Linked DNA regions of Oryzias latipes. Each later gene encodes a partner of the first gene's protein in a complex. Links are inferred from orthologs where the notes say so. Each region holds a gene or a part of one and is shown in the gene's direction. Other genes may lie near its edges.

Region 1 (5,162 bases):
ACAGTTTCTTGTATAATTTGTAATATTTAAATGCAAGAGACGTTTTAAGATTAATCTGCATAGTAATAGATTAAAATGAAGACTAAATCCTTGTTTTGACTGAAAAATTTGACTTGGAAAAAATTAAATCATTATTGACTCAAAGAAGATGGAAATATTTCTCTCATTGTCTCACAGACCTTTTTTTTCTCTTAGCTAAGAACTTAAACAAAAAAAAAAAGTATTAAAGAGGAAGAAATTATCATACTAAAAACGTAACCCTAAAGGATATTTACCTGAAATATTTCCGCTTTAACATTTCAAACCTCAATGCTTTTACAGATGATCCGATTATTATCTGCATATAGAAAAAAATCTCATCTGATAGTTTATGAAAGATCACCTTCTTGTCAGGAACCAGAGCGCAGAACAGATCTTGTGTGAGAGCAATATTTAAATATATTTGCAGCTCATAAAAAATGTTTTAAATTGTGTTTAACAAATCAAAACCCATTTTCTGGCAGACAGATTTGCAGGTTCACTAAATCCAAACCTATTTATTGTTCAATCATTTAAAAACTCTACCAAGCTCCTCCCAAATCTGTAAGTCCTTCATAAAGGGTTAGGGGTTAAAGTCCTGATAACCCTGCATCACATCATCAGACAGATGCTGCAACTGCTTGAGGCCAGAGAATCCATTTATGAACCAATGCACTTGTCGTTGTAGCATTTTAAAACATTCATTTCAGCTGAAAATACAGTAAAAACCTGCTTTTTAAACCTTTATCTATCTTGGGACAAAACCCAGAGACAAAATGATAAAAATGCTCCCAGTAGTGGTATCTTGTGAGGATCAGATGGCGTTTCTTTACACATGAACTTCATTCTGGAACACTTTGAACAGAATGTGTTTGTAGAATATACTTTATACACTTCTCTTCTTCTCCATCACATTGTCGAATCTTGCATCGCCCCCTAGTGGTAACATCAGAACACAACATGTTCCTCTTTTTACTCAAATAAGAATGCAACCTACATAACTGTTGTAGTGAATTCATTCTTTTGCAGGAACGCAGCAAACAGTAAACTGGGTTTACTTCTGCTGAAAACTGAAGATCACCGTCTCAGCTGTAACAGAAGCTGCAAAACCCACTTCTGGCCATACTGTGATCATCCACCAGTGTGATTGCATACTTACATTCCCAAACAGCAGTCTCAAAAGAACCCACAACGTCAATTGCCACCTTGTCTTATGGCAAAGAAGGAAATGGCGCCGGTACAAGTGGAGCTGCAGCAGGAACTGCAGTTTTATCACTACTTTGACACAGTTGGCACCCTTTAACGTGTTGTATCCCTTGGTCATCCCTGCCAGGCCACTAGTACAAATCTCTGAGTCTCTGCTTGGTTCTTGCAAAGCCTTGATGACCTTCATGTGCCAAAATGATCAGTTGGTGATGTAAACTGACTGGAAGAATAAGTTGAGGAGCTCTGAACACATTATGTGTTGCACGGAAAACTCCTCTGTCAACCTGAAGTATGGAGGCACATTTTTGGGCAATGCAGCAGATGAGTGAGGGAAACCCTTCACGAGCCCTCTTGCCGTCAGACATTCTGTCACTCTGGTCCGTCTGATGGCATGAAGGGTCAGAGCCACTCATCCATCAGTCAGTCAGTCCGCTCCATACTGTTTTCCACATGTAAAATGTCAGACACATAGCTTTTGTGATCCACCGCCACAGGATCATTAATATATTACATTTCGCATTAATATAAATACATAAATGGATAAATAAATAAAGATATTTAACATTTTTGTAAGGTGTTTGTTTTGATGTAACGCCCTGTTTTAAAGCCACCAATCAGAGAAAAGGACCGTCCCCCTCACCCGGAAGTGGTTCGAAAGTGTTTCCTCCTTATCCTTCTGACAGAGCGAGGGAGTTGTTTTTTGGCTTGAGTGGGCTTTTTAATCGGAACCATGCCTGGTCCAGACAAAGAAACAGACCTGACGGAGAGGCTGGAAGCCTTCCTGTCCGATCTGAAGCGTGGGGGCAGCGGGACCGGGCCCCTGCGGAGCTCCGCGGAGACAGCCCGGGAAACGACAGCCCTGCTCCGCAGGATCACCGCACAGGCCCGGTGGAGCAGCGCAGGTGGGTCAGGCTGCTCTTTTAATTCCACACCTCCAAGTCATAGTTTGGAAGCGTTGCCATGGTCACAAGAAAGGAAAGGGAACCCTAAATTGAATGCAGCAAGCAAAGACGTTGCACTGAATGAATTTCAGTGAAAAGGTGGAAATGTTAAAAAATTCTTAAACTTTTGACCAGTTTAACATGTGTTTGAGTAAAAGCAAAATAGTATTATTCATATGTGATTGTTTGACCTCCAGTAAGAGAGGATTCAACCAATTTAACACAAATATTCTTTTTTACAAAGTTTTTTTACTTTATTTAGATTTTTCCGCCCTTGGAGGATATTTTAATTAATATTTATGTGTGTTTTAATTAGTCTGTAAAATAAAATAAAACTGCCAACATGAAATCAATCTGTAGACAGTCTCTATGTTGCACAAGAATGACCAAAATAAAAGAAAAAGTTTGATCTTGTTTCAGGTGATTTGATGGAAATAATCCGAAAAGAGGGAAGGAGAATGACGGCCGCTCAGCCCTCGGAGACCACGGTGGGGAACATGATCCGAAGGGTCCTGAAGATCGTCAGAGAGGAATACGCCAGGTGAGGATTCCCCCAGAACTCACCTGTGTGTTTCAGGCACACGCAGAAAGACTTATTATTTATCAGACTGAAAATCCTCACCAAAAAATACTTCATTTAATACGTTTATAGTTTCTGTTTCCATTAAAAACATTTTTCATGGTTTATTGGTAAAAAGTTCTTCTGGTTGTATGTTTTGAGTTTCCTTATACAGTTCTGCTCAGAAGTTTACAAATCCTGGAAGAAATTAAGGATTTTAAACGTTTTTTAGAGAACAGGATTGATAACACAAACTTGTTTCACTTGTGGTTAGTGGTTAGATTAAGCCATTTATTTTTAAACGACAGTGTTCACACCTTGAAATCATAAGAACAACAGAAACTCCCCAAATGACCCTGTTCAAAAGTTAACATACTCCAGTTCTTAATACCTTGTATTGCCTCTTTTTGTATCAATAACAGCTTCAGGTCTCTTGTGGTCGTTGTGGATGAGGTTCTTGATTTTCTCTAATGGTAAAAGGCAGAAAACTTCAAGTTCCTTTAAATTGTTGGGCTGTTTAACTTGACGTCTCCCCAGAGTGGCTCAATAATATTGAAGTGAGGAGACTGAGACAGCTACTCCACAACCGTCTACATATTCTGTTGGAACCAATGACAGGTGGGCGTGGCCTTGTGGTTTGGATTGTTGCGTCCCATGAGCACCCCCTGAGCTGAAGAAGTGCTGGTTTTCCTCCAGTATCTTCTGATAAAGTGCTGCATTTATCCGCCATCACTGTGCCTCTGTAGCTCACACATCCCAAACCATCAGCGATCCACCTCCGTGTTTCACAGTAGGAATAGTGTCCTTTTCATCACAGGCCTTGTTGACTCCTCTCCAAATGTAGCGTTTAAGGTTTTGGCCAAAAATGTCAATCTTGGTCTCATCACTAATGGTCCAGAAGTTTGGAGGCGTGTGTCTGTTCTGTGTGGCATATTGTCAGCTGCTTTTTGGCGTCAAAAAGGTTTTCTTCTGGCGACTCGGCCGTGCAGCCCATTTATTTTTCCAGGTGCCTTTTTAATTGTACATCTTGAAACATCCACACCACAGTTTTTCAGAGGGTCCTGGATCACAGCAAGGTTATTATAGTTAACGAAAACGAACGAAAAAACTAAAACTAGAACTGAAAAAACATTTTCGTTAACTGAAATAAAAATAAAACGAGAGTTTTAAAAAAAACGAAAACTAACTAAAACTGTTTGTTGTGTGTATAAAACGGACTGAAACTAAATAATATTAACCCCAAAAAAGACTTAGTTTTCATCTTTGTTAATACATAAGTCTTTTGGGTTGAAATAAAATCTATTTACTTCACGCTGCTAGTTTTACTGTGTATTTGACCCCTGCGGCATCACGTTGTCTGTGACGTCACATGATGTCTGTCAGACACTGCCGGTTAGCGTTGTCATAGACATTTACATGAGCGTGATGGCTGCATTAAAAGTTGGGAGAAAGCGGGAGAGTCCTATTTGGGACTTTTTTTAATATAACAGTGTCGAAAACTAAAGTAAGTGCCTTGTAGTCGAAGCAGGAGACAAAATTTGTGGAACGCTCCTCTAAGGGAAAAACCCTACGAATCTAAAAGTACATTTAAAAAGCGCACACAAAAACGCAAATCAACGGTACCTAGACAAGCTAGCCTGTCGCCCGCCCTCCCCCGAAAAAGAAGCGAGAGCAGATAACGTAATGCTGTTATCGGCTGTTGTATTTTAATTTAAGGATGGTTGTCCTTGTGTCCTCTGAATAATAAGTGTTTCAAAATGGATCTTTGATTGAGTTTTTATTATACAATACTTATTCTGGTGATTTTGAATCATGCACCTGACAAATATCCTAATTTACAAAAAAAAAGAAGAAAAAACTAAAACTAACACTAAAACTAATAAAAACTAAACTAAAACGAAGCAATTTCAAAAAATAAAAACTAGTAAAGCTGCCTCTAAAAACTAATTAAAACTAAATAAATTTAAAAACAAAAATTCAAAACGAAACAAAAACTAAAACTAATAAAAAATCCGAAACTATTTTAACCTTGGATCACAGCTGTGGGGTTTTTCTTTGCATCCCTAACGAGTTTTCTGGCAGAAATGTTCGTGATGGTGGTTTGGTTTCAATAGAACCCCTCACATTTGAACACTGCTGACTGGCATCCTCAGTTCCATAAATATCTTCTTATCCCTTTCCTGTTTAGTACAGATCAGTTACCGTTCCCGTAGATCTTTTGACAAGCTTTCCCCATGGCTCAGGATCCACAAATGTGTTTCATAAAAACAAGGGAAATGATCAGATTAGATACATTTAAAATCACAATGAAAAAGAAATCATTATGGTTGTTATGGTAACTAAATACGTGCTGCTTTTTTTGTTTTTTTTTTTGCGACCATACTGGGCTGATTGCACATCTGGTTTGGTGCCTCTGATTCCTCCAGGTTTTTTTTTTG
Region 2 (4,657 bases), on another chromosome or scaffold:
TTTTTAAAATAAAATAGAAAAAATTCAAGTTCACCTTTTATCTTCTTTATGGTAACAAACATCTAAATAAAGGCAGATTTGTGACAATTATGTAAATGGATGAGTTTCTACCTTTATCAGATTGTGCTGCTTAACTTTCTAAAGCAAGTAGAATGGGGGTAACCCCATTTGTTCTGAAAGTATTTGCGAAAACATTTCATATAAAGGTGCTTTACCAAGATAAATCATTTCAAAATTGAATGTTAGCCTGTAGAGGGTTTAATCTCATTTTTCTTTGATTGCAAACTGTAACGTCAAATCCTCATTTCTCATCCTCCCGTTGATGTTTTTGTTAAACAGATGTAGATGTAAAATCTTCATCAATCATTGCATGACTAATGCACCTTCTATTGCCACCATATATTACGTCCAGTTAGATGACTCATTCTTTTCTTCAGCTTCTTTCTTGGACTTTCTTTTCACTGCCCCTCTCAACCTCTCCTGCTTCATCTCCGTTCTTTCTCTGTCTATCGCTGGAGGAGAGAAGTAGACAGAGTAACTGTTGTTTTTCTCCTGTTATTCAGATGGAAATTCTAATCTCCCTTTAAAAGAGAGTAAGTGAAGGAAAGTTGAAGGGGGGCAGGGTGGTGTGGGATGGTGGAGAAGAACACTGATTGTGGTGCGGAGAGAAGAAAATCGGATGTTAATTGAACAGAATTAGAGGTGATGGTATATTTTCCTCCAGTGTGCTTCTATTTAAAAATTGATCGCTGTTTTATTGATCCCATAAAAAAATGATGAGACTATATTCCAGTGGATTTGAGCAGCCAACTATCAGTTGGTTAGCCAGCGGTATAACTCCCAGACTTAACAGTTATTGTGTTTTGGGGCAAGATAGCCACATGAACCCCAAATGTTAATTTAGAAAAATAACAAACAAGGAATAAATCTGTAAATTCTACTAATTAAATTATCTTGTAAATGCTAAATAATATAGACATCCACTTGTATGCTCAAATCCATTAAGCAAAATGATGTGATGACTTCACATGCACAGCAATTTTACCAAAAATATCAGCGGATGATGTCAATCAAAAGTTCTACATTGACTAAACTGCTTCAACGGCGGTGAACACAACAATGCTCCTGCACAAAAAATGGAAAATTGATCGCTATTGCAAAATGAGCCTGTGCGATCAAGTATTGCAAAAGACAGCGTAAACTGCGATAAATGGTTACCTTTATGTTTACACACTTGCATAAACAGGGAAGCCTTTAATTTTCATTTAAGTGCACAATACCCAGTACATTGTTCTTTATTGTTGCCCATTTTAGTTTTAGCCAGTACTACCAGAAAGGTAGAAAATTGTTCTTTGGTGTGTTTTCCCACCATACAAGTTCTTTCCAGTCTCCTATTGAAGTAACTTTCTATGTAATTTATGTTACCTTTTTTTTTTAAACAGAACTGTTGCAGTGAAATGAAAACAATGCATTAGTTATTTTTTGTTTTCTTGGTTTTTGCTCGTTGTTCATGTGTCGCAGGTCATAGTGTCATCGCAATAGTTTTCCTCGTATCGTTCAGCCTGACTAATTATTAGTCTGCAACAAACTCCAAGGGGTAAATTGTAAAGCATTTTTTTGATTAAAAACCTGAAGTCATTAATTACCCAAAAACAGGAGAGACTTTGTGTTATATAGTAAATAAAATAAAGACAATCGGTTGTCATTATCAGACATCTGAAAAAAAATCAAAATCCAATATTGAAGATCCCTTGTGAAGTAATTTATCTTTGCAGTCACAACAATGCACTTTGATAAAATGTCATCAGCTTCACCTATTTTTAGCGTTACTGTTAACTTCTTCTTTCTTCTTCTTCTGTCTCAGGTCCATTTCATCGATCCGTGGAGAGCTGTTGCCATATTTGGTGCGTAAGCAGTTTTCCAAAACAGCAAACTATGAGAAAATAAAAGACGACTGCGAAGACCAAACGCAGAAAAAGAGCTCTACAGACGACGGTAATCCTCTGCACAGAAAATCACATCAGTAGCTTAAATATTGCTACCTGGTTTAGTCACCTCTCAATTCTGAAGGAGAGGCAGCCAAATTCCTGTTTCTGATGTTGCTTTGTGTAATTCTGACATTCATGGTGGTTCCCTTGTTCCCGTCAGAGGTTGTCATCTCATCACGGGATGAATCCCTCCTCCAGCGAGCCCAGGAACTCTCCTGTTGGAATGATCATCGTGGGGACATGAGTGAAGCTTACCATGGAGGAAAGCTGCGCTGCTACGTCCACATTATGGAGCAGGGACTGTGCTGCCGCGTTAACACGCTGGCTGCTTATATAGAGGCAAACCGGCTGGTTAGTGACAAATGACCCCGTTTACAGTCTGTTCAAATTCTGTAAAGCACTACTCCTAATAGAAGAACAGATATTTTTACTTTTAACTCTTAAAAGGCCTTTCTTGGAAGATGTTGTTACCTTTTTTTCATGGTTAGGCTCCAAAGCTGTTTGAAGAACCAGCGGTCCACCCATCTTCAGTCATTTCAGAGAGATGTCAGGTATATGTGACACACAAACGATCTGACATACTTCACCTAACCAAGTCCTATAATAATTGCCCCAAATCTATCACTCTGAAATGATTTGTATGTCTACTGTTTTGTTTCTGATCCACATCACTGCTTGGATTCTCCCCTCAGATGGGATCAGACAGTATCATCGGGGCTCTGTGTCAGGTGGCGGATAAAACCTCCATAAAAAGATCCACGATTGGAAACTCGACCACAGTAAAAGAAAAAGTCAAAATCGCCAACTCCATCATTATGCATGGAGTTGCTATCGAGGAGGGGTAAGAACACACATTTATGTACCGGTACATATTGTCAAGTATAAGAATGTGCCTCAGAATAACCTTTATAAAGTCATAAACTGTCACTCCTACTAGAAATTATTAGTAAATTGTCACTGTGTTCCTGGAATTCTTTCCCTTTTTAGTTTAATCTTCACTTCTAATTTTTTAAATTTCAGTTGGATGTCAGATTTTATTCAAATATAAACAGAACAATGGCTATTTTTTTTTTAAATCCCAGCAGAACCTTTCACCAGTTTAGTCAGTGCTATGCTAATGGTGTGTGGGAGCCTGTTTGTGCATCAGGGCAGATGCTCACTGATATGTGTGTGTCTGCTGATAGGAGGTGTAGGTTTTGTTTTCTGGCCTCTCGCAGGTCAAACAGGGATCATCGTGTTAACAAAGCATGTATTGGTGTGCAGCCAGCCAGAGACCAGTTCCAAACAAACAGAGCTGCTCAAGTGAAGCACAACGTCCGTATATTTCAGTCCACGTCACATTTACACACCTTTATCCAAGTTTCACCCTTGTTGTACAATTAGTGAAATACCTTTGACTCCTAATGGTTCTCTAAGATAGGTCCGTTTTTAATTTTTTGTGAATATGTTTAACTATTTCTTTTTTGTTTTGTTTCTTCACTGAGGAATCAAATCATTGTTTTTAAATTGGGACATCTGTGTTTATAGCTTAATAAGTGAACTGACTTTGTTTGAATTTTTTTTCTGGTTTTAAAGTGTTTACAGCGACTAAACTCAAAAAGAATGCGTTAAAAACTTGTATATTTGTTCTGTTTTATCATTATTATTTTTTGGGGGAAATCAGGAGTTCAGATCATGATTAGTTACATCATTTAAACTGCTTTGAAGTTTGAATTCCACATTTACGACCAAAGCCAAGCCTAGGTGGGGAAACTATAAAAAATATATTTGTCTTTAAATACATAGATACAGTTGTCCCTTGTTTATCGTTGAAGTTACATTCAAAAATAACTAGTGATAATTGAAATCTGCTAAGCTGTCATCTTTATTTTTGATAAAATGTTCACATTTTCACACTTTTCTCTCTTGTTTAATCCTCAAAGTTCAAACCTAAATAGAAAATAAGTCCAGTATGACAAAGATCTGCTCACGATTGTAGATTTTCGTAAAATTGGCGAGATGAATGCATCCTGTACAGGAGACAGGAGGGGATTGATTCACAGTGGTCTACAGCCAATCAGGAGGCAGAATGCGCTGCTTAAAAAAGAATCCACCAAAAAAAATCTGCACAGACAGTGGTGCAAAATGTCGAAGCGGTGCAAATCTTGCTCCAGGCTTTTGCTTTCACAGCTCTACTCCGATATATGAAAGACTTGATGTCATATACAGTGGTGGACAAAATTGTTGGTACCCCTCAGTTAAACAAAGTCCACAATGCTCACTGAAATGACTTGAAACGTTCAAAAGTAACAATAAACTAAAATTTACTGAAAATTAAATCACCAAAATCAGCCATTACCTTTGAGTTTTTGATTAACAGAATTATTTTTAAAAACAAACTAATGAAATAGGGCTGGACAAAAATGATGGTACCCATAACTTAATATTTTGTTGCACTACCTTTTGAGGCAATCACTGCAATGAAACTGTTTCTGTATTTTTCAATGAGCCTTCTGCACCTGTCCACAGGTATTTTGGCCCACTCCTCATGAGCAAACTGCTCCAGTTGTCTCAGGTTTTCGGGTGTCTTCTCCAAATAGCATGTTTCAGCTCCTTCCACAGATGTTCAATGGGATTCAGATCTGGGCTCATAGAAGGCCACTTCAGAATAGTCCAACACTTTTCTCTTA

Evidence for each region. The genes of interacting proteins can lie anywhere in the genome.
Region 2: eif2b2 (region 1) and eif2b3 share a complex: the UniProt entries of both Homo sapiens proteins name them as parts of the translation initiation factor 2B (eIF2B) complex. The link is inferred for Oryzias latipes from reciprocal best matches to the Homo sapiens genes EIF2B2 and EIF2B3.

Annotation. Positions count from the first base shown.
Region 1 is NC_019882.2:17,134,848-17,140,009, reverse strand, and holds the start of eif2b2 (translation initiation factor eIF-2B subunit beta), read left to right. Parts: upstream 1-1,866; 5' UTR 1,867-1,954; coding exon 1,955-2,126; intron 2,127-2,585; coding exon 2,586-2,706; intron 2,707-5,162. UniProt on the Homo sapiens protein: Acts as a component of the translation initiation factor 2B (eIF2B) complex, which catalyzes the exchange of GDP for GTP on eukaryotic initiation factor 2 (eIF2) gamma subunit.
Region 2 is NC_019875.2:24,320,810-24,325,466, reverse strand, and holds part of eif2b3 (translation initiation factor eIF-2B subunit gamma), read left to right. Parts: intron 1-1,864; coding exon 1,865-1,995; intron 1,996-2,148; coding exon 2,149-2,339; intron 2,340-2,476; coding exon 2,477-2,539; intron 2,540-2,680; coding exon 2,681-2,829; intron 2,830-4,657. UniProt on the Homo sapiens protein: Acts as a component of the translation initiation factor 2B (eIF2B) complex, which catalyzes the exchange of GDP for GTP on the eukaryotic initiation factor 2 (eIF2) complex gamma subunit.